2 linked regions of the Struthio camelus genome follow. Each later gene encodes a partner of the first gene's protein in a complex. Links are inferred from orthologs where the notes say so. Each region holds a gene or a part of one and is shown on either strand. Other genes may lie near its edges.

The links.
Region 2: the proteins of AAGAB (region 1) and AP1S3 are in contact, whole or in part, in a crystal structure (PDB 9DDT), measured with the Homo sapiens proteins. The link is inferred for Struthio camelus from reciprocal best matches to the Homo sapiens genes AAGAB and AP1S3. Residues at the interface, in NP_078942.3 of Homo sapiens: Asn51, Lys52, Tyr53, Tyr54, Glu108, Val109, Met110, Ile111, Gln128, Ile132, Gly135, Phe136, Glu137, Asp151, Phe153, Pro154, Glu155, Arg161, Gln164, Ala165, Asn167, Ala168, Asn169, Val170, Met176; in NP_001034658.1 of Homo sapiens: Arg10, Gln11, Lys13, Arg15, Gln37, Leu40, Ser41, Arg61, Tyr62, Ala63, Ser64, His85, Val88, Asp92, Phe95, Val98, Glu100, Leu101, Asp102, Ile104, Phe105, Asn106.

What each region holds. Positions count from the first base shown.
Region 1 is NC_090953.1:2,582,175-2,592,106, reverse strand, and holds the start of AAGAB (alpha- and gamma-adaptin-binding protein p34), read right to left. Parts: upstream 3,952-9,932; 5' UTR 3,896-3,951; coding exon 3,823-3,895; intron 1-3,822. UniProt on the Homo sapiens protein: May be involved in endocytic recycling of growth factor receptors such as EGFR.
Region 2 is NC_090950.1:12,752,310-12,761,356, forward strand, and holds the start of AP1S3 (AP-1 complex subunit sigma-3), read right to left. Parts: upstream 3,773-9,047; 5' UTR 3,647-3,772; intron 1,116-3,646; 5' UTR 1,080-1,115; coding exon 990-1,079; intron 1-989. Other genes in the region: WDFY1 (WD repeat and FYVE domain-containing protein 1), read right to left, coding at 6,714-6,773, 7,418-7,526, 8,455-8,585. UniProt on the Homo sapiens protein: Subunit of clathrin-associated adaptor protein complex 1 that plays a role in protein sorting in the late-Golgi/trans-Golgi network (TGN) and/or endosomes.

The sequences.
Region 1 (9,932 bases):
AAGTTCCTCTAAGAAATACTGCAACTAATAATACTGGGCTTTTATTATGCTGAAATAACTTTTATTTGCCCTTTTATAATCTTATCCATAATGGCTGAATACTAACTAAGGCATAGCACGTTTCAGTGTCCTACACTTGTACACAAAAGCTCTTTTGCAGAGAAATACAAGCTTCCTCAACTACAGTGAGTTATTGTAGGCTGGGGACCAAACAGACGCATTGCCTAAGCTCATGCCAGCGCCATCCTCTGTTACCTCCTACGTTGGTGCTGTTCACCTATGCCATCTCCAAAGCTAACTTGAATTCCAGGTAGTTGTTCACTAGCTTTCGTTTTTCAGCAAACTGATTAATCACGTGGTGTTTTTAGTTTGTTTGCTTACAAGTACCTTGTGTAATAAATCACACAATTCTAACCAATTCGGAATTCATTCACTTTGGGAAGTGAATTTCAGCTACCTGTTTATTCACATAAACATATTTACTTATTCAATTTTACTGATTTTTTCCTTTTTGAAATACAGAGGCTTAGTATTTTGTAAGTGCAAGGCAACAAATCTCCTTTTGAAAGGAGAACTAAGGCCAAAAGCATATTTTTTGGTTCTTTTCTGAAAGTTAATCAAAGAATCAGATGCAGATCTCTCACCTCTCCTTGCTGCAATGTTCCCTTTTCTCTAACATCCAACTGATATTTAAGTACTTCTGTGACACTGTTTACTGCCACTGCACTAGTAATGTTTTGTTTGTTCAGAATCATTAGAATACCTCCTTGTTGCAGGCTTTTCTTCCAAAGGCTGAAGTATTGACCGCTTTTCTACTCTTTGTCAGATTTAATACTAAGAACATAATGCAGTTCTACAATAGCCTAAAAGATCACATGTCCTCTGAGTTGGTAGGTACACTGAGTAGTTCTTGCATTCTGTGCCTTGAGAGCCACCTGGTGGAATACAACGTGAGAAATACTCCTGCAAATTATACAAGGAGTAAAGAACTTTTCAGAAATGCAGATTAAACTTGTATGTGTTGCTGAGAAGGAGGAAGAGAAGCAGTGAACAAGCGAAAATGCCAGAGAAGTGAAAGGTTGCATCAATTACGAATGCTTGTGTATTTAGTCAGTTTTTACAAATGTTGGCTGATAAAACAAGTATCTTATGCTGATTACAAATCTCTATGATCCAAATATCTATGAGAAAGGGTCAATCCTATCCTGTGCATTGCATACTAGATTCATTTTGCTGCAACATCTGCTGCAGTAAAGCAGTTTGGGTAGCCCACAGCAACTTGAAGGAATAAAAATATCTAGCAAAGGCACCACAACATTCTTCCCATCCTCAAGCCATTTCCTACTCTACAGGTTGAAAACATTGTGGAAAAAGCCTTCTAATGACCCTGGAAACTTCTGGTAGGTCACAGGAGAAGTTCTCATACATCTCCTAACAATAAATGCTCTTGGCAGCTTCCTTGACTTAGAACAGGTTTGCTGGGGAAAAAAGAACATATCAGGAGTGAAAGCAAGTAGCACAGTGACAAAAGCAGTAGTAACAGAGATGAGGTCTTTGTTTCATGTTTGTTATAGCAATTGTGGGTTTCGAGTCTATGGATCTCAAGCAATACAGCATTTTATAGCATATTTCAACCATAAATGTTGCATGTAAAATGTTGTACTGCCTCAGAGGTGCTAATACAAGGGTCTGGCTGGCAGAACAAAATTGCATTAGCAAACAAAACTTCCAAATAGTGCCTTTAAATTGGTGTGACATTTTCATGCTGTTAAAGTACAAGTTTCAAATATTCCACCAGTGTTTTGCCCCAGCCCAATAACATCCTTTAGTCTGGTCAACTGTAGCCAGTCACAACTTTGTCCTCCTAATAGGTTTTCAACTTGTTCCACTTGTGCTCCTAGATCACAGGCAATTTCACCTGCTACACAAAGCAGAAATTTAAAATTCTTACTGTTTTTATTTTCAGTACATGATGTTAAAATCTTTGAGAGAAATGCCACCTTTTGTGAAGCAACCCAACCTGAGGATGCAAAGATAACCTGCAAGATTCCATTTTGGTACTGGAAAACAGTAGAAGCCTAGCCATTTCCAAGTGAGTACTACTTAAGCAGAGGTTTTCTTAAGTAGCATTTCTATCAGCTTTTTGCTCACTTGTATTTTCACTTGATCTCTCTAAGAAAAATAATCAACCTACTGGAACCTTGTATAATTCCTTCCAATTTCCCATACTTTTTTTTTTACCAGCAAGCAACAACCAAGAATAAGTTCTTATAGAAATTTACTGTTCTTTGTTATGATCTCCTTAAATAACTTCAATGTTAACTGTTTTGCTTTGACAGACTAACCCTTGACAGTAGTCCTATGCTGTCATTCTGGCTACAAAATGTGGTTTTACGAGATGGACTGAGTCAAACCCCTGGGTCAGCTCCATGCTTTACGAGGCTCTTGCATAAGATCTAATGCACTGAAACAACAAAACATAAATCCGTAAGAATTATCTATGGCTTTTTAGCTACTGGATTAGTGGATTAACCCCTCTTCTAGAAGTATTCAACAAGATTTTCACCAGAGATGGCGAAAATAGCTGGGGCTGTGCAGATGGAAGGAAGGGGACCAGACCTCCCACTTCCAGCATCCACAAAGCCATTAGATTGACTCAGGGGCCCATGGAACTGTAGCATCATTAAAGTGCTGATGTTTGGAATTATTAACATGCATTAATGTTAAGATATACATGTCAGTATGCAAATCACACTGTTCATGGCAGTTTCTTAAGAAGCAAGGCTGCACTTAAGAAGCCACAGCGGCAGAAGCACTAAGATCTAAACAGCTTTCTGGAATCCCCCTGACTCTAGAAAGACTGAAATTCCACTCAAGTTTTCCCTGTTATCAGATATTATGCATTGCCTTTTTCAGGCCACAAAAGAGGTGCTGGGTCGCAAGACAACTTCTGACAGAACGCTGTATCTTCAATATGCAGTCAGTGCACTTTAAAGTTTCATTGACAATTTCAGAAAGGGAGAATTTTTTTGGAACTTTCCCATTTTTGTGCTTCTGAATTGTGACAATGGGCACAGGCATGAAAACAAGCCATAGTAAAGCATGAGCTCAGACCCACTAAAGAGTTTAGAAATTTACCCTTGCCCTGAAGGTCCAAGACTTTGTTCACTTCATAACTAGAAAAAAAAACCAAAATCAAAGGGCCAATATTTCGTCTATCTGTCCTTCTCTTGCCTCGGTTCCTGAGCCACTCGGTCTGATCTAGCGAGCCACTTCTGACCGAGCGGCTGTCTGAGCTGCTCGGTTGTCCTAGCAAAATACAAGTTGCATTTCCCTGCCATGACCAGGACCCACAGCAGAGGAGTTCATGGTCTAACCCACTTATTCCTCACTTGCTAATGTATGGCAATTTTTATTTTACAACTACTTGTATTCCGTTTCGAGGCAACTCAAATCGCTCGGCATGGCTGTACGTTATGACAGTTCATCCCCTCACGCAGGATGTGGCGAGTGGCCAGCAGGTGGTAACACTTGGGGCTGCGTGGGGTTTCCTCTTTTGCTCTTTCTCCTGTCGGGTGCAGAGACGATGCCAGCTGCCCTTTGCTCTCAAAATCTGAACGTTTATACCCTCTTTCAATGCTGTATTTCCTTAAGGAAATAAGGAGGCCCCGACTCCCCCCCCCCCCCCTTGGAGGGGAGGCGTTGAAATGCGGCGCCTGAGGCGGGACACTTCCCCCCCCCGCCCCTTCCCCCGAGCCCTGGGTCCGGAGCCGGGGCGAGGCGCGGAGCCCGGCCGGGCCGGGGGGTGCCCGAGGCACTCACGTTTGACGAGCTCCTCGCCCGCGAAGCCGGCGGCGCAGCTGGCCACCAGCGCGTAGGGCCCGGCCGCCGCCATCGCGCCCGCCGCCGCCGCCTCGCCCCTTCCGGCTGCCGGCCTGTACCACGCGGCTCCGGGAGAGGGGGGGGGAGCGAGGAGGGACGGCGGCCAGCTGGCGGGTGAGCCGGCCCAGCGGCGGAGCGGAGGCAGCGGGCAGTAGAAGCTCGCTGGCGCGGGGAGGAAAGCGGAGAAGAGCGTGCTCGGCTCCTGGTTTAAAGCGCCTTCCACTCTTCCCTCCCCACCCCCGCTCCGCGCGGAGGATGGTGCGGTCCGGCCGGCGCGTGCTGTTGCTAGGGGCGCGGCGAGGTGGCAGCCACCATGGCCGGCGCGGGGGCGGCAGCGGCGCCGCGGGAGGAGGTGGCGGCGGCGGTCGCCGCCGCCGCGCTGGTGCAGGTGGGTCGAGGGGCAGAGCCCCGAGCGGGCACCTCGCCGGAGCCGCCGCGCCGGGGGCTGCGGCCGAGCCCGGCGGGAGGAGGCGCGGGAGCCGCCTCGTGCCCGCGCTGAGGCGAGGCGTCGCGGCCCGGCGCTGTGAGGCGTCGTGGCGGGGCCGTTCCCGCCTCGCCGCGGGGGGGGCGGGCGGCCGCTCTCCTTTGCGGGATAAACGGATCCAGCTGTTGCCCCCCAAAGACCTTCTGTGGCTCTGTACGTCGCTCCGTGTATGAAATAAACGCTTTTTGCCTTTCCACGTTGGTTTCTCTGTGATCCTTGCAGTTGGATTTCATCCGTGGCGGTCTTCAGCCGTTGATCTAAGGGCGGTTAGGCTCCCGCGGGTGCCTAAGGCTCCGATGGAGCTCCCGTTGGCTCTGGCGACCTCCTCGGTCGCTGGATCTGGATGGGGCTTTGAAAACGTAGACCTGAGCAATCCAATAGTGGTGTTGCTTTTCAGGTTGAAAGCTTTATTGGAATGCCTTTTGACTGCTGGTCTTGCCCTGACAGTATTGTGTTCCTAAATATAGCTAAGCTGTGGGGTTGTCGTCTTAGAGCATCCACAGATACTTTATCTTGCTCTTTCACGTCCCGTTTGTGTTCCTGAAGTAGCAAACTTATTTCTAAAGGGAAGTAATCTGTCACAGTAAGCAAATACTTTGTAAATTGTCAACCTCATTCTATGCTCAAATACTGCCACCAAAAAAATTGTGCAAACGCCTAAAATAATTGAATGGTAATAGTTGTGTTGCAGTTAGTATTGCTTTTTTGCATAGAATGTTTCCCCTGTGGTTTTCAAATTTGTCAAGTTGAGGACCTGACTGCTCAAAGGGAAGTCCTTTGGAGATGTTCACTGGTTGCAGTGAAGCTGGAGCATGCCCATGGTGCAAGAGCCTAAGGTCTCCAGACAAGCCCTTGCACTGATAGCAGCATTGGGATTATTACTGGCAAAGCAAAGTCAGTGAAGTGTACGTTCCCTTTGCAAAATTTCAACCGAATGTTTCACTCGAAAGGGCAATTTTACTGATTCTTGACACTTTTTTGAGCTGCTGCAGAATGACAGGTGATGTGAGAAGGTAAAGTGGCCAGGAACGTATTCACAAGCTAGCTGTTTATAGAAAGGAACAGTGAAGTCCAGAACTGAAACATTGGATGATAGTTTGTGGTATGCAGAAACCATTCTGTAGTTCTGGGAGGTACTTGTCAAGAGGGCATCTTCATGCATCTGAGACTGAAGTTATCTTTGCAGAACTTGCAAAGAAATAAGTCATTTTCCCTGCAGACTAGAGGGATGTGAGCGTGAGCAGAATCTATCAAACTAATATTGCAAGCTGTAGTTGGTTGGAGTATCAGTAGCTTCAGTTTTCAGTATTAGTTGAAACGGATACTGACTAAGAATCAAAAAACCCTGTGCTCTTGGAGCACCATACCATGCAAATGGAATTAAATTGGGTTGTCTTTTCTGTTTCTAAGCAACATGAGTGTCTATGCTTTTCTTTAAGGTGCTTGCGAGAATGCATAACGCTATAATAGTTAATAAAGCAAGTGATGTTAGAGGTTTTCTACTGCTCAATTGATCTGTGAAGTTCAGTTCCTTCTTAACAAGCTTGCAAAAAAGAGTAGAGATTCTGCCTGTAGTAACTACTGAGTTAAACTGAGAGGTGTCTTTGACATATGAAGAAAGGCAATTGTCTCTAGGCTGCTGCTACTTTTCTTAAAAGGAAGAAAATGCACCCAAGATCTGACTTTAAGGTTTTTTTATTTGATCTTTTTCAGGGATCTAGCAGAATTGTTTTCTATGTGGCACAACAAAAAAGAGCACTTGATATCAACAGTGTTCCTGGAAACTTCTGGGGACAACACAAAACCCAAGAAAATGGGGTTTGGAGAATTTTGTCTGCCATTAAGATTTCATTTTGTTTTGTGTGTTCTCGTTGTGAATTTTGGATAATGACCAGGACTTTATAAATTTTACAGTTCTTAGCCTAAGGGGACCTTGAAGTTGTTTGGTTGCCACAGTATAAATATATGTTTTTGACATGGACAGACATGATCTCCTCTCAAGCTACTTGTTCCTTTCAAAAGCCTTTGGTAGTGCTTCTGTTCTTCCTGCATAGTTAAGCCATCTATGCCAAGATATTTGAAACGTAAGGGAAGAACACTCCTTGCAAAAGGACCCCAGTCTTGAAGTCTGCTGCCATTGCTTTACAAGATTTATTTTAAAATGAACTTCTTTGTTCAGGTTTTCTACTAATCATTGGCTTTAAAAGTCGTTGACTGTCTGTTCTTCTCGCTCTCATTTGTAAGAGTACGGAAGTACAGGAAATTTTTCTTTCCTGTATTTAGGAAGCATTTTATTTGAATTAAACCCTGCTGTATAAACCTATGGTTTTTGGTTATAGGTGTGATTATTGTAATAACTTGCTTTTTAGGTCCAAAAAGACCTTCACAAGCTTAAAGATAAAGTGAAAAATATCAACTTGAAAGGAAAACTAGAAACTGTGGATATTGGTAACCTGGAAACAGCAATTGAAAGAACTGAATCTGGGCTGAGAGTAAGTAAAATGAAATGGATCAGGAAGATGCTTCAGTCTGAGACCTGTCAGTAGGTCGCTGAGAGTGCACGGGGCCTTATGTTTGTCATCCTGCAAGTTCCCTTTCCAACTAGCAAATGATGGGGTTCATCAGACATAATAGTTTAGAGTGCTGATTTCCTTTTTTGAGGGGGAGGGGGGTCAGAATTAATTGATCTAGCGCCTCATATCATAAGCAAAGTTTTGCTTTAGTCTGATAGAGGCATAGGACCTATTGACTTTTCACTCAAGTGAAAGATCTAGATGGCTAAGTTAACTGAGTTAGGTTTAGTGTCCCTAACACCTTTTTTAATAGTCTAAACTTTTTTCTCTAACAGAAACATGCTGAAAACTATTTAAATGCTATAAACAGACAAGTGTTAACTATTTCTTCTACTGATAATAAAGGAGAACATTCAAAACAGCTTTCTAAATGGTAAGTGAAACAGTTGTTTTATTGTAGGGATGAATGCCAAGACCAACTGTGATATCAAAATCTTATGAAGTGAATGGGAATACCTGACCAGATTAGCTTATTTTGGCCATTTGCTATTTTGAGTTTGTTTTATTTTAAGTTAAAAAGCAATACAAAAGGAAGTGCAGTCCCAAGTAGCTACAGCAACTTTTCTGTTAACTCTGGTTTTTGCTGCACATGCATTTAAATGAAAATATAGTTGTTAAATTCAGCCAGATGGAAGCAGTATGGGTTTTATGGGTAAAATCAAAGTAACTTTTAAACCTTGTTGTTTGTTTCTTCTAAATCAGGGAGCTTCCTTTTGGTGCTCCTCAGAAACGACTTATTCTGCCACGAGTGCCTGTGGAACACCTGACTGTCCAGGAATGCAGCAAATCAGCACCACGTGTTTCTCAACCTTCACAGGTTTGAAGTAACACAGTACTTTGGCATAAACGATATTCAGTGTGTAGACCGGGGTCTTGCAGGTTATCAGTTAATTCTGCGGTGTTATGTTCTCACTCTCCAGGGGTTCAGTTTTGGCTCATATCATCCGGTGAGTGAATGTGTTAGAAAGTTCTCAGTAGAATGAGAACTGAGACAGGAGCCTTCTCCCTGGCTCACAGTCAGCATAAAGTCAAAGGTAGGAAGGAAGTCTGTACCATCATGGGCACCCCCAGAAAGAAGCCTTCCGTTCTTTTTTTCTTCCACAAGTAAGTTAAGGATCCCAGTCCTGCAAATACTATATGCTTAACCGCTTCTGTAAGCGATCCCTTTGAAATACATGGAACAATATACTGGAATAGCATGAGCACAGATATAAACACTTGCATTATTTGAGACTGACAGTAATTTTCTTTCTTTCCCACACCTTGCCATATCTTTTAGGTGAAAAGTCTTCCCTTTGTGTATGGGGTGGTCACATCTATGATAAATACAGCTTTCCTCCTTGCAATCTGTTTCACTGTCTTTCATAACTGAAACCCTTACACAATTACGTTACGCCTTAAAATGTTTGGATTTGAAGTATTTCTTGCTTTTTATTCTAAACTGAATTTTGATTGGTCAGTTCAAGGTGCTTTAATCAATTTTTTTTTAAAAACAGATAAGGTAATTAGTTCATTTGAAAAATACACATTGTCACAATTTGGGGTTATTGTTTAAATTAAAGGGATCTTTGAGAGAATCTTGGTGGTTCTCTGTTGTGCCAGTGCCATAACTAGGTATGGATTGAAGCTACTTGAAATGGTATAACCAAAATGAGTTACAGCCTGGCATTTACATTGCTGACTCTTTTTTTTTTTTTAAACAAAAAAAATTCAATATCAAATAGCATTAAAATATCTCTTTTCCTTGAAATGGTGGGTAAGGTGTAATAAAATCCCAGATTTTAAACGTGCACAAATTTCATCTTTTAAAAAACTGAGAATGAAATTCTGTAGGATTGTATTGAAAAAGTAGTCATCTTTTTAATGTGTAAAATGCTTATTGTTTAGGAAATGACTTATAATTTTCAAAGAATAAGAACTTTGGAATTTGTTGAACGGAGTACCCATGGCACCCTTAAGTTTTTGAATAGAAAAGAATGATACTTGTTAGTGTTTTGAAAGCAAGAGGTTCAAGTTTTCCACAGAGTATTCCAATCCCATCCTGTATGTATACCCTTGTATTTTGAAGAAATGGTCAGAGTTCAGCTACTCTTAGTCTCTATTATTTATGGTCTTTCAACTCTATGTGCATCAGTGAGCTTAATTTAGAGTGGGATGCATACTACGCCCTGCCATGACTTCCTCTTTTTTTTGTCTGGTATCTATGGCATCTGCTTGGAAATGCATATCCAGTGATACACAAGCTAGCCCTAATTTCCCATTATATAGAAAATGACAAACAGGGCTGTTCTGCCAGCTGTTCTACATGCCTGGCATGCCAACATAAAAAGCTTTTATTATTAAATAGTTGTGAAATCCAGCTGGGAAGTTATCACCTACAATTCCTCAGTTCCTATCTTTTCCTCAATTGCAACTATAAACAGTTTTTTTTATTTAAGCATACTTTTTTAAATTCCTTTCCACTATAAAGGAGTCTGTACTGAATAGCTTTCCATTTGAAGAGCGTTTATCCAAGTACATAGGTTTAAAGAAATCAACTTCTGAAGTTGTGTAAGTTCTGAAAGAAATAATTATTTCATATGGCAATGTTTCTGTGATTTGCAGTCTATAATACGCCATGTGAGTAGAAATGGAGCATAAGTTCTGTTTGTAGTAGTTAGCCTATAGCAAGGTTGGATTCAAATGAACGCGGATTCTATTTCCACATACACATTGCTAGAATACTTGTCATATGCTAAATAGCTTGCCCACAGATGTCAGAGCTGACTTGAAATTATTTACACACACATACTGTATTTCTGAATCATATCAACAGCAGGGTTGGACTGCGTGAATCTAGCTCATAAGGGGAATTGTGAAGCATTGTCCCCTTTGTGTGTGTTGCAGTTGGGTTTGTTCTTCTGATAAAGCTTAAGAACTGTAAAAGAAGCATTTTCTGCTGGCTGTAGTTGTAAAGCCTGTGCATAGCAATGGCAGAAAAGATGTTGTTGTCC
Region 2 (9,047 bases), on another chromosome or scaffold:
ACCATTACAGCCTGTACTGAATTGACAAGGGTACACAAGCGCTTAAAGGGCGTCAAGTAGCATTTCATTCCATTTCCTAGCTGTAGGAAACTAAAGTTTATCTTCCTTTTGGCCTGATCTTAATAAAGCTCCATACAGAATTCTACTTCTATCGGGGGGGGGGGGGGGGGGGAAAAAACCATTGTAGCCCTCTTGCACTCCTTTAGATTAACAGCTATTGGATCCACTGTGTCCTTCCTTATAGCCCCTCAAATCAAAGGCCCCAGTGCCTCTGCGTGGTTTAACCACGCCACCACACATTTCACTGCCCCTCTCCACCTTCCCTCAGTTTCTTTCACTCTTCTCTTTCACCTTGATTATTAAACCTAACCATACTCAGAGCACGCTTTGAAACAGTACGACACGCAGTTGATAAATTCACACAGTAAAACAAGAGAACTACTGTTTTGAAGCAGAAGGACTAAAACATCCCTTGTTTCCTATAAACATACTTATAGGCCCTGCATTTCTCCTCCCTAAAAGGGCTGGACTGAACATAATATACAGCCTTATTTCCCTCTTTTAGATTCTGCTTAAGAGATCTAGTTTTAAATGGAATGTTCCACAGATATCATTTAGACATTTACAACGTTCCTTTACCCTTAGAGAAGTCACCCTGACTTTCTTCAAAACCAGTAAGCACTACTGGCAGCCTTCTGGCTTCCAGATCTTCCCTGCCGATCACCAAGATTAAAAAGACTGGTAGCCACCTCTTAGCTAGGACATAACACAAAGTCAGGGATGAAGAGGTAGCAGCTTTTACCATATTGTTTTCCAACATACAAGGGGTAAAGTGAGCAGAACAACAAGTATGGCTGCATTGCTATGGTGCTTAATGGGATGGAGTCTTGTACCGGAGGGTGCGACAGCAGGGTTTTTCCACAGAGACACTTACCTTCCCTGTCTGCTGCCTCAGACATCCTTAGCTCAGCCATGCAAGACCCGCTCACCTGACACATCAGTAAGCTCAGGCAGCAGTCGAGGTGTGCTTCAAGAGCTCCCATCACCCATCTGAAGGGGTCAAACTCCAACACAGACATGCTGCTGCAGAGGACACCTGGAGAAGGAGCCACAAACTAAGAGAGAAAGAAGGAGAAATATAATGAGAATGGAGATAAGAAAGGATAGTGACTACAACAGAAAAATAGCACTAGCTTAGCAGCAGCAAGGAACATTGGCAAGCAGTGCTGGCTTCCGATCAGCGGCATGGAGAGTGAGCTTCAGCTCATGACCGCTCTTAAGAGCTTTGAGAGATACATGCATATAAGTATTGATAGTAGCTCATTTTAAACTCAAAACCTAGGGAAAACAGGCTGTGGAAAGGAAAATTGATAGAGATACACAAGGGCCATGGAATCTTTTTTATTTGAAAGACAAAAATAATAAAGTTAGGAGCAGGTTTAACCCTATTCTGTGTCTTCCCCTATAAACAAGGTAAAAGCAAGAAAAGGGTGTACCTCCTCAACATTTGTTATTGCAAATCAGTGTTTACTGAAGAACACGCCAATATACTTCAGAAGAAGAATGGAAAGACCAAGCATAAAAACACAGAAGGGAAATCCCACAGTCAACCTGTGTTTCTAACATGAGTTGATCTTGGTTTGGGGCTGGATAAAAGCTAGGGAATACCTAAGCCTCTAGCTCTCACAGAAAGCATGATTCACATCGTACCAGGGCCTTTGCAAACAAAAATTAAGAACACTACATAATTCAGTTATGACACAGCTAGACATGAGGCAACCCATGCTATCTGTATGACAGAGCAATCGGGAAAGAATGGACCAACTATTCCATATACAAGCCAGCCAATCCCACCTAGGTCACTGTAATTACATGGAGTCTAAATTAAAGAATCTGGCTCAAATTCTCTGGGCAAGGGCAGATTATACAGCAAAACTGTTAAGAGATCTAGGGTACACAGATACATTGGTGGGCAATTAGTCTAGCAACACTAAGCTACATGTATGTTGTGGGGGGAGGAGGAAGTCTCATGATATGCAAGCAAAAAGCAAAGTTTCTAAGGATCTCATATTTTGGTTTATTTTATAGAATATTTTTATATTTGATTTTATTTTAAAAAGGAAAAATTGTAGATTACTGATATTTATTATTTTAAAACTACTTTCTCTCATTTTACAAGTGATCAAAGTAGTTGAATTAGTTCAACTATTAGCTTCTTTTGCATATTTGTATTTAGTAGATTATATAATGCTACCTACAGACCATGCCCTTACTTCCTCTGAAGTAAGAAAAACATTTGTGGGATCATCTGGTTGCAGTTGCCTAGGGTTTGATAGAAGGCTGCTCTGGATAAATCCATGCAATTGCCATTCTCTTTATATTCATGAGAGAAGCAGATAAAGCTTCCAAAGGTTAAATCTTAATTTACTGAAAGATGTTTAGTTAATGACAAAAAAAAGCCATGCTAAGCAAGCAGAAATTCATTCTTCTGTAGATTTTGATCGTGGTATTTCATTGTTAGCCAAGTCATTCACAACCGAGACTTCCAAATTTACTCATAAAAAAAGCCTTGGAGAGCTTTCCCTTTAAAGAATGTATTTGTAAGTTTGATCAACATAAAAAAAAAAAAATTGGTCCCTTTCTTGAATCCAACTTATTCCTAGTCTGTCCATTGACCAAGTTCAACACCACACTAGAAAGGCATTGCCAAGACCTGCCACACAGCTTAACTGAAACTTAGATTCTAAGTTTGCAACACCAGGAATGTTAAGACCCTTACACCGGTCAGCTATGCATTCTCACTTAGAAAAACCAACCCACGTGTCCCAGCATTTCCACTACGAGAACACTGTTTAAGTTCTCAAACTTAAGATATGAAGCTTAGGTTAGATTTAAATTATGCCATAAGATGATCTTCCCAGACCTCTAAATAAGCTTTTCTGCCTACGAATCAGTGAGAGATTGATTTCACAGTCAATTTTTTGTTGGAACTAGAGAACAGGGCATTTGCTTTGGGATAGGTGAGAAGTTTAGTTTTTTGAAATCTATCAAAATTAGATAGGTCTTGATAAAAATCCATTACAATATTATACTACATAAGCTACTCAGCCACTCATGAGAGGATGAAAGTTTATGAAACCCTTTCAGATTGAGACTATTGCCCCTTCCCTATTAATATGCAAATATTCAGGCATTCCAAATATCACAAAGTTGGCAAATTCTGTCTTTGAGCGTGAATGCTGTGAGCAATTGTTAGGTATAGGGATACTTTGCTGCTCGTCCTTATCCTTTCCTCTCTGTGAAAGTGCTATGAGACAAATGTAACCACCTCCTGCGACTGCAGTTTGCATCCTCTGGGTACATCATAGAGTAGATTCTGCCCCTCTCATCCAACACCAGGGAGGTACTTCTCTAATACCTCAGGCTGCTCCGTGCGATTTCAGGCAAGCAAGTTTATCTTCTGATACCCTGCATTGTAAGAACCATTGCAGAGCTCAGAAAAGTAACCAGATAACCAGAGAAGTTAAAATGAGCTGGCAAGTAGGATAGAAAGGATAGGAAGCACAGCTGTATGTCTCCATCTGCAGGTAGTTACTGTTCAGTAAACAAGGTTACAACCACACAGCAGTTGTTTGTCTCAACTCACTGGCTCATCACGGGCCTTTCACCCTAGCGCTGTGGCTCACTCAGCTCCAGGCAGCAGGTCTGACAAACCCTTCCTGCAACCTAGAATTTGGATGCGGGCAGCCTAAAGAAGGAGCGAGAGCATAGAATGGGGGTTGTTCAGTAACAAAGAAAAGATGGGTCATCCAAATAGACTAAGTGAATATCAAGAAATAGTTTATTGTACATGTAATCAAAATTAAAAAAACAAAACCTCAGACAAGAGGGAGCAAGGGACAGATTTATCTAGCATCTCTTAACTATGCAGGGTACAGAAATACAACTAGTAAAGAATTAGCACATATCAGTACCCTTTGCTCCCCTTCCCTGCCCCAATGGAAGAGGTTATACAAGCAAGATTAGTAATGCTTCAAATCAAGCTTCCTCAGTAATTGCACACTTGACCTGACATAGTGGAAGTACGTTCAGTTTCTTGACAGAGTATGCACCTTCAAAACAGTTGTTTAAAACAAAACAGTATCTCTTTAGTGGTTTGTAAGCATTACTCATTCAATACCAAGAGTATACTTAAGTGACTAATGACTTCTGGCAGCCATAATTATCTTGTTATACCCAAACTGACACTATCTTTAAGTATAGCAATTATAGAAAATAGATTCATTAGGTTTACCAATATGTAGTAGAGAATATATTATCTAGTGGCAAAACCTTAATGTAAGATAAGTGGCTGTCAAAAAGCAGAGGAAGTATTCACAAGGAAGGGGGACAGGGAGTTCCATGCTGAGCAGGGAGCATGTTGACTAACCAGAACTAAAAAAGCTGACGTTCAGGAGTGTTAGCTGCTAAAGAGTTACACCTCAGTGTCATTGGTGTAAGAAGAGTTTCAGATCACCTGGTTTGAAAAATATGCTATTCTTACCACATCTACATCAATCTCCCAGTTTAACACATGACCCTAGATCCTCCTCACCACAGCACAGTATCTTGAGCAGCTCTAGCTGCATAAGCCTGTTCTGCAAGGAAGAGGAGGCTTCTGTTCTCTTCCAAAGCTAGATAGGAAGAAGTCTGAGAGCATTATCAGCATGCATTTACCCCTTCAAGCACTCAGTTTCCTTCTCAATTTACAGAGGTGGAGGCTTTCAGAGCAGTAACCTAACTTTTTTCCCCAAACACAGGCTGATTTTTCTCTCAGTAGCTTAGAAACAAGCCTTCACAAAAAAACCTAAGCTATACAGCATGTAACAAGATGAATGAAATCAGTGTGACAAGTGCTAAATCCCAAATTGAGGGCAATACAAGTTTTGTTATTCCCACAAAAGAGGGATTTGGGTTTTTTTCCCCACTGTCTCAGTAAGCCTAGCAAATTAACAGACTCTTAGCAATACTTCAGGAAATGCCCATAGAAACGTAGACAAAGCCAGATCCAAGATAACAGTAACTAACATATTCTGGATTCTAATGCCCTTGTTGGAGACTATCAGCTTTTTGGCTTAAAATTGAAATGGATCATGATGTATTAACTATACAGCAATCTTCATATATTAGCTACAACATGGTCCAACACAGAATATTAACGTCAAATCACGCAATTAGGACTTGATTTCACTTACAGTCATAGCACCACTTCCTTGTTGCTGTATTAAAGACCGTTTAACCCTTTAGTCCTCTGCCAGAAAGAGCCCATTACCTTTGACAGTTATGCACCATCACCTACTCTGGGCCAGCTGACCCACTCAAGTTTTTTCTGTCCTCACAGTAAGCACCTGCTTTCAGAAAGCCTGAAAAGCTCCCAACTTAAACTCTGTGCCATTGCCTTGGCTTTCAAAAGGTTTCAAAATAAGTTTTCCTTACAGTGTTCAAATGTAAGATTCATAAAACTGACAGACCAATTTATTGGCAATACCGCACTAGCTATTCCCTGTAAGTGCCACTTACACACTCATAGAAGCCTTCTAGCTCTTCTTCATACTTCTCAGCTTTGAAATGGGAACGGATCAATATAGATATCTCAGGATTAACGGACCTGTGTGTGCACGTTGGTGGGGGGGGGAGAGGGGGGAAAGCAGCTTTTCTGTACCTCAGTAATTATTGCTTTGGAAAGCCTCAGTATTTATCAGTTTTAAGCAACACCAAGGCAGTATTTAGATTTATGCTGCACTTTAGCAGAGACAGGTTCCTTACCATTAAAGGATCATCAGCCTTTCCACAGGAAAAGGTCTCTATACTTTAGCTGGCCATTTTTTCTTAGCCATTACACTTAACAAGGCAGATTTGCTTAGCTTCCCATTCTAACAGCATTATAGAGCTGTCAAAGCATATGGTTCATACCTACAGCCTGTCTTTAAACTAGAGTAGCTGAGCTGTACGTTTTAATAAGACATAGAAGTTTGTTACTTATGCTAAAATTCTACTTAAGAGCTTGGAATTGTCTGAAGATTTGCCAGCTACCTAAACAGAATAGGTGTCCCACAAAAGTGATTTCACTAATAACTGAACTTGAAGACAAACACTACAAGAAAGCCAATAAAGGAAATCTTGCATGATCAAAGGTTCTTTTACCATCTCATCTGAAAGAAGCTACCTGCCACTTGAAAAGTATTTCCTCCTTCCATAGGAATAACCAATATACCTTTTGGAGGCAGTTTAGACAGCGACTGCTCAAAAGTATTTCTGCAGAACTGCTTTTTGGAAGAGAGAATAAGTTATTTTACTATTTGCACAAATTGAATTTACTAAACTTGTTTTACTCTTTCAGCTACAAGGTATCTATATAAGATGTATCAGCAGAGAAAGCACACTGTTAACACTACATGTTTAACCAAGTTAACAACAGGTCCTTTCATCAAGGTGTCACGTTGCAGGTAAGCCATTTTACGTTAGTCCAAGAGGCTGTGAAACTGCATTTCCGCACCAAGGAGATTCCTGTTGGGCCCAACAGAAAAGCTGTACTGCACAAAGGGGACTGTCCATCCTGGAACAGCAGCAGAAGAATCAAGCAACCAGTGTTTGCGGTAGTATTCTTAAGAAGGATTTCATTCATTTGGTGCATATTGCTGTACATAAGGTGCATAAACCTCTCTGGCGGGAGATCAGCGTGAAGAGAAGCCAGTTGCAAGGCTGCAACCGACTACTGGCGTCATGTCCCAAATCTAGAAGAAAATATTGCAGAGAATTATACAGAAATACCACTTATGTTTCAGAATATTGCTATAACAAGCATAGAAGCAAGCAATGACCTCCCTGGACATAAGGTAACAAATCCTATTTAAATTAGACTTAACAGAAAAAGAGGTAAAGAGTTGTACCAGTCTTGCAAACCAACAGCCAAACTTCAGATTCAAGAGATTCTTGTAGCAGTGCTCTGCAGGTTTGTTCAACAACAACAAAAAAAACCATTCCCATTTCCCTGTCACTGCCCCATAACCAGGGCTTTTCACCGCACTGCTCCAAGAAGTCAGGGAGCTCAGATTCAAAGGAGCCTACATATATTATCACGTGTCCGTTTCTAAGGCCACTAGCAGATACAGCCACTGTTGATGCCTGCTTCATTTGTCCAGAGGACACCAAAAGTAACTGGCTCTGACAGCTAGATTAAACCATGCAGTGGAGTTGCAGGTTATTTCCATAATCAGTGCAAGAAGAACAAACAGCGTGCAACAAATATGATTCTTGCTGCTCACAGCAGTTAGCTTTGTAGCTACAGCTGTCAAAAAGGGAAAAAGTATATACAAACATCAATCATTAGGAAACTAAGAGTATCTTCAATAAACATTGGAAAGAGGTACATGAATACCTTCACAATCCGGTCACTTCCACAGGTGACCATTAACCCTCTGGAGAAGTCCATGGACATGTGTGAAATGTTGTGCTTTCCTTCATGAAAGGTTGCCAAGGAAGTACGGCTATAAGAAAACAGTTCAAATGAAAGCCAGCTATTAGATGAAGCTGCCTGGCCTCATTATAACAGTGTGAAATGAACTCTCAAAAAAAATTAAGTTGCTTGAATACTAATGAATCAGCCCCAAGAACAGCACTGCCATCTAAAAGGGGATGGATTTGAGTTAGCAAGTCATGCTAAATCACTGCTTGTGCAGTTATACGGGTGAGAGATTGCCTAGCCTTCCCCAATTTGAGTATTAATAGATTTAGAGCAGAAGTAGAACACAGTTTGAGTAAAAAACTGTACTCTTGGTTATAAAGTCAAGGTCAGCTACATTTTTCCTTTCCCACAAGGGATAAACAATGGCACAGCATCTCTCCCCTCCCCTCTTTTTTTAAAATAAAAAATGGTCATTTGATTACTTCAGTCCTTTAGTGCTCCAAGTTTCCCCTCCCCTCTTTTTTTAAAATAAAAAATGGTCATTTGATTACTTCAGTCCTTTAGTGCTCCAAGTTTCCAAGAAGGTGACAGAACACTGAACAGGAAGTGCTCTTCATATTAAGATAATCAAAGGGGTTCCTTCATCACTAGAATAGTTTAATGAGACAGTAAACAATGTTGAACAGTTTGCTTGCACAGGAAAATAGTGCTGGCCTCTGAAGAGCACACAGAGTAGTAGTCTGGATCTGGGGTTATGGGGAAGACAACAAACCAGATTGGATTAAAAAAAAAAAAAGTGTAACACCACATCTGATCTAAACGGGCTTGCAGAGCCAGTTTAGGGATCTCTGCGCCAGAGTGTATTGGGCACCCAGGGCAAGGGTGGCCTGTTAGTACAGGTTCAGCTTGGCATGTTTGTGTAGCACTGTGCATGGACACAGAGCCAACACAAGTGTTTCTGTACCTCATCAGCATTGCTTTATAAAACAGACACCCTTCTTAGTACTCACTCTTCATCCTTGATTGACTCAAAGCAGGAATCACAGACACGGACCTGAAACTCAAATCCCATGATAGGGTAGCTCGACCGTTTGGTACTGCACTTGCCACACACTGCTTGGCCACATTTTCTGCAGTGATGCTTGAGAGAGAGAAGAAAAACCCAACAAAAATAATCACTACACTGTGCCATTTGTCTTGCTGAATGTTTTTTAAATAGCAGCCTGTTAAGAAGCCTTCTTTCCCTGCCCATCCCCTCCTCATTGTACTAGTTTCTTTGGGGAGCAGGAGAAAGAAGGGTTGGGTGAGCATCTAAGGAAATAAGAGTCCAGAAAAGCTAGAAAGATATGACAAGAGCATTTGTGTCCACCCAGTCCTTCCAAGAAGGAAACTGTTTGGAAAGCTTCCAGATTGTAGCACAGTTAAGAGCAGGGCCATCACTGCTTCAGTGAACTGGAGCCTCTCTACACTATGTTAGGCTGGCAATTTGCTTGTTTAATTATGGGGCACTATCTGCCACTTTATACAATGCAAAGATTATCTGTCCGCAGCTCCAGTACACAGAAACATTCAGAGAAATTGGACAGAGTGCCCCGAGCACAGT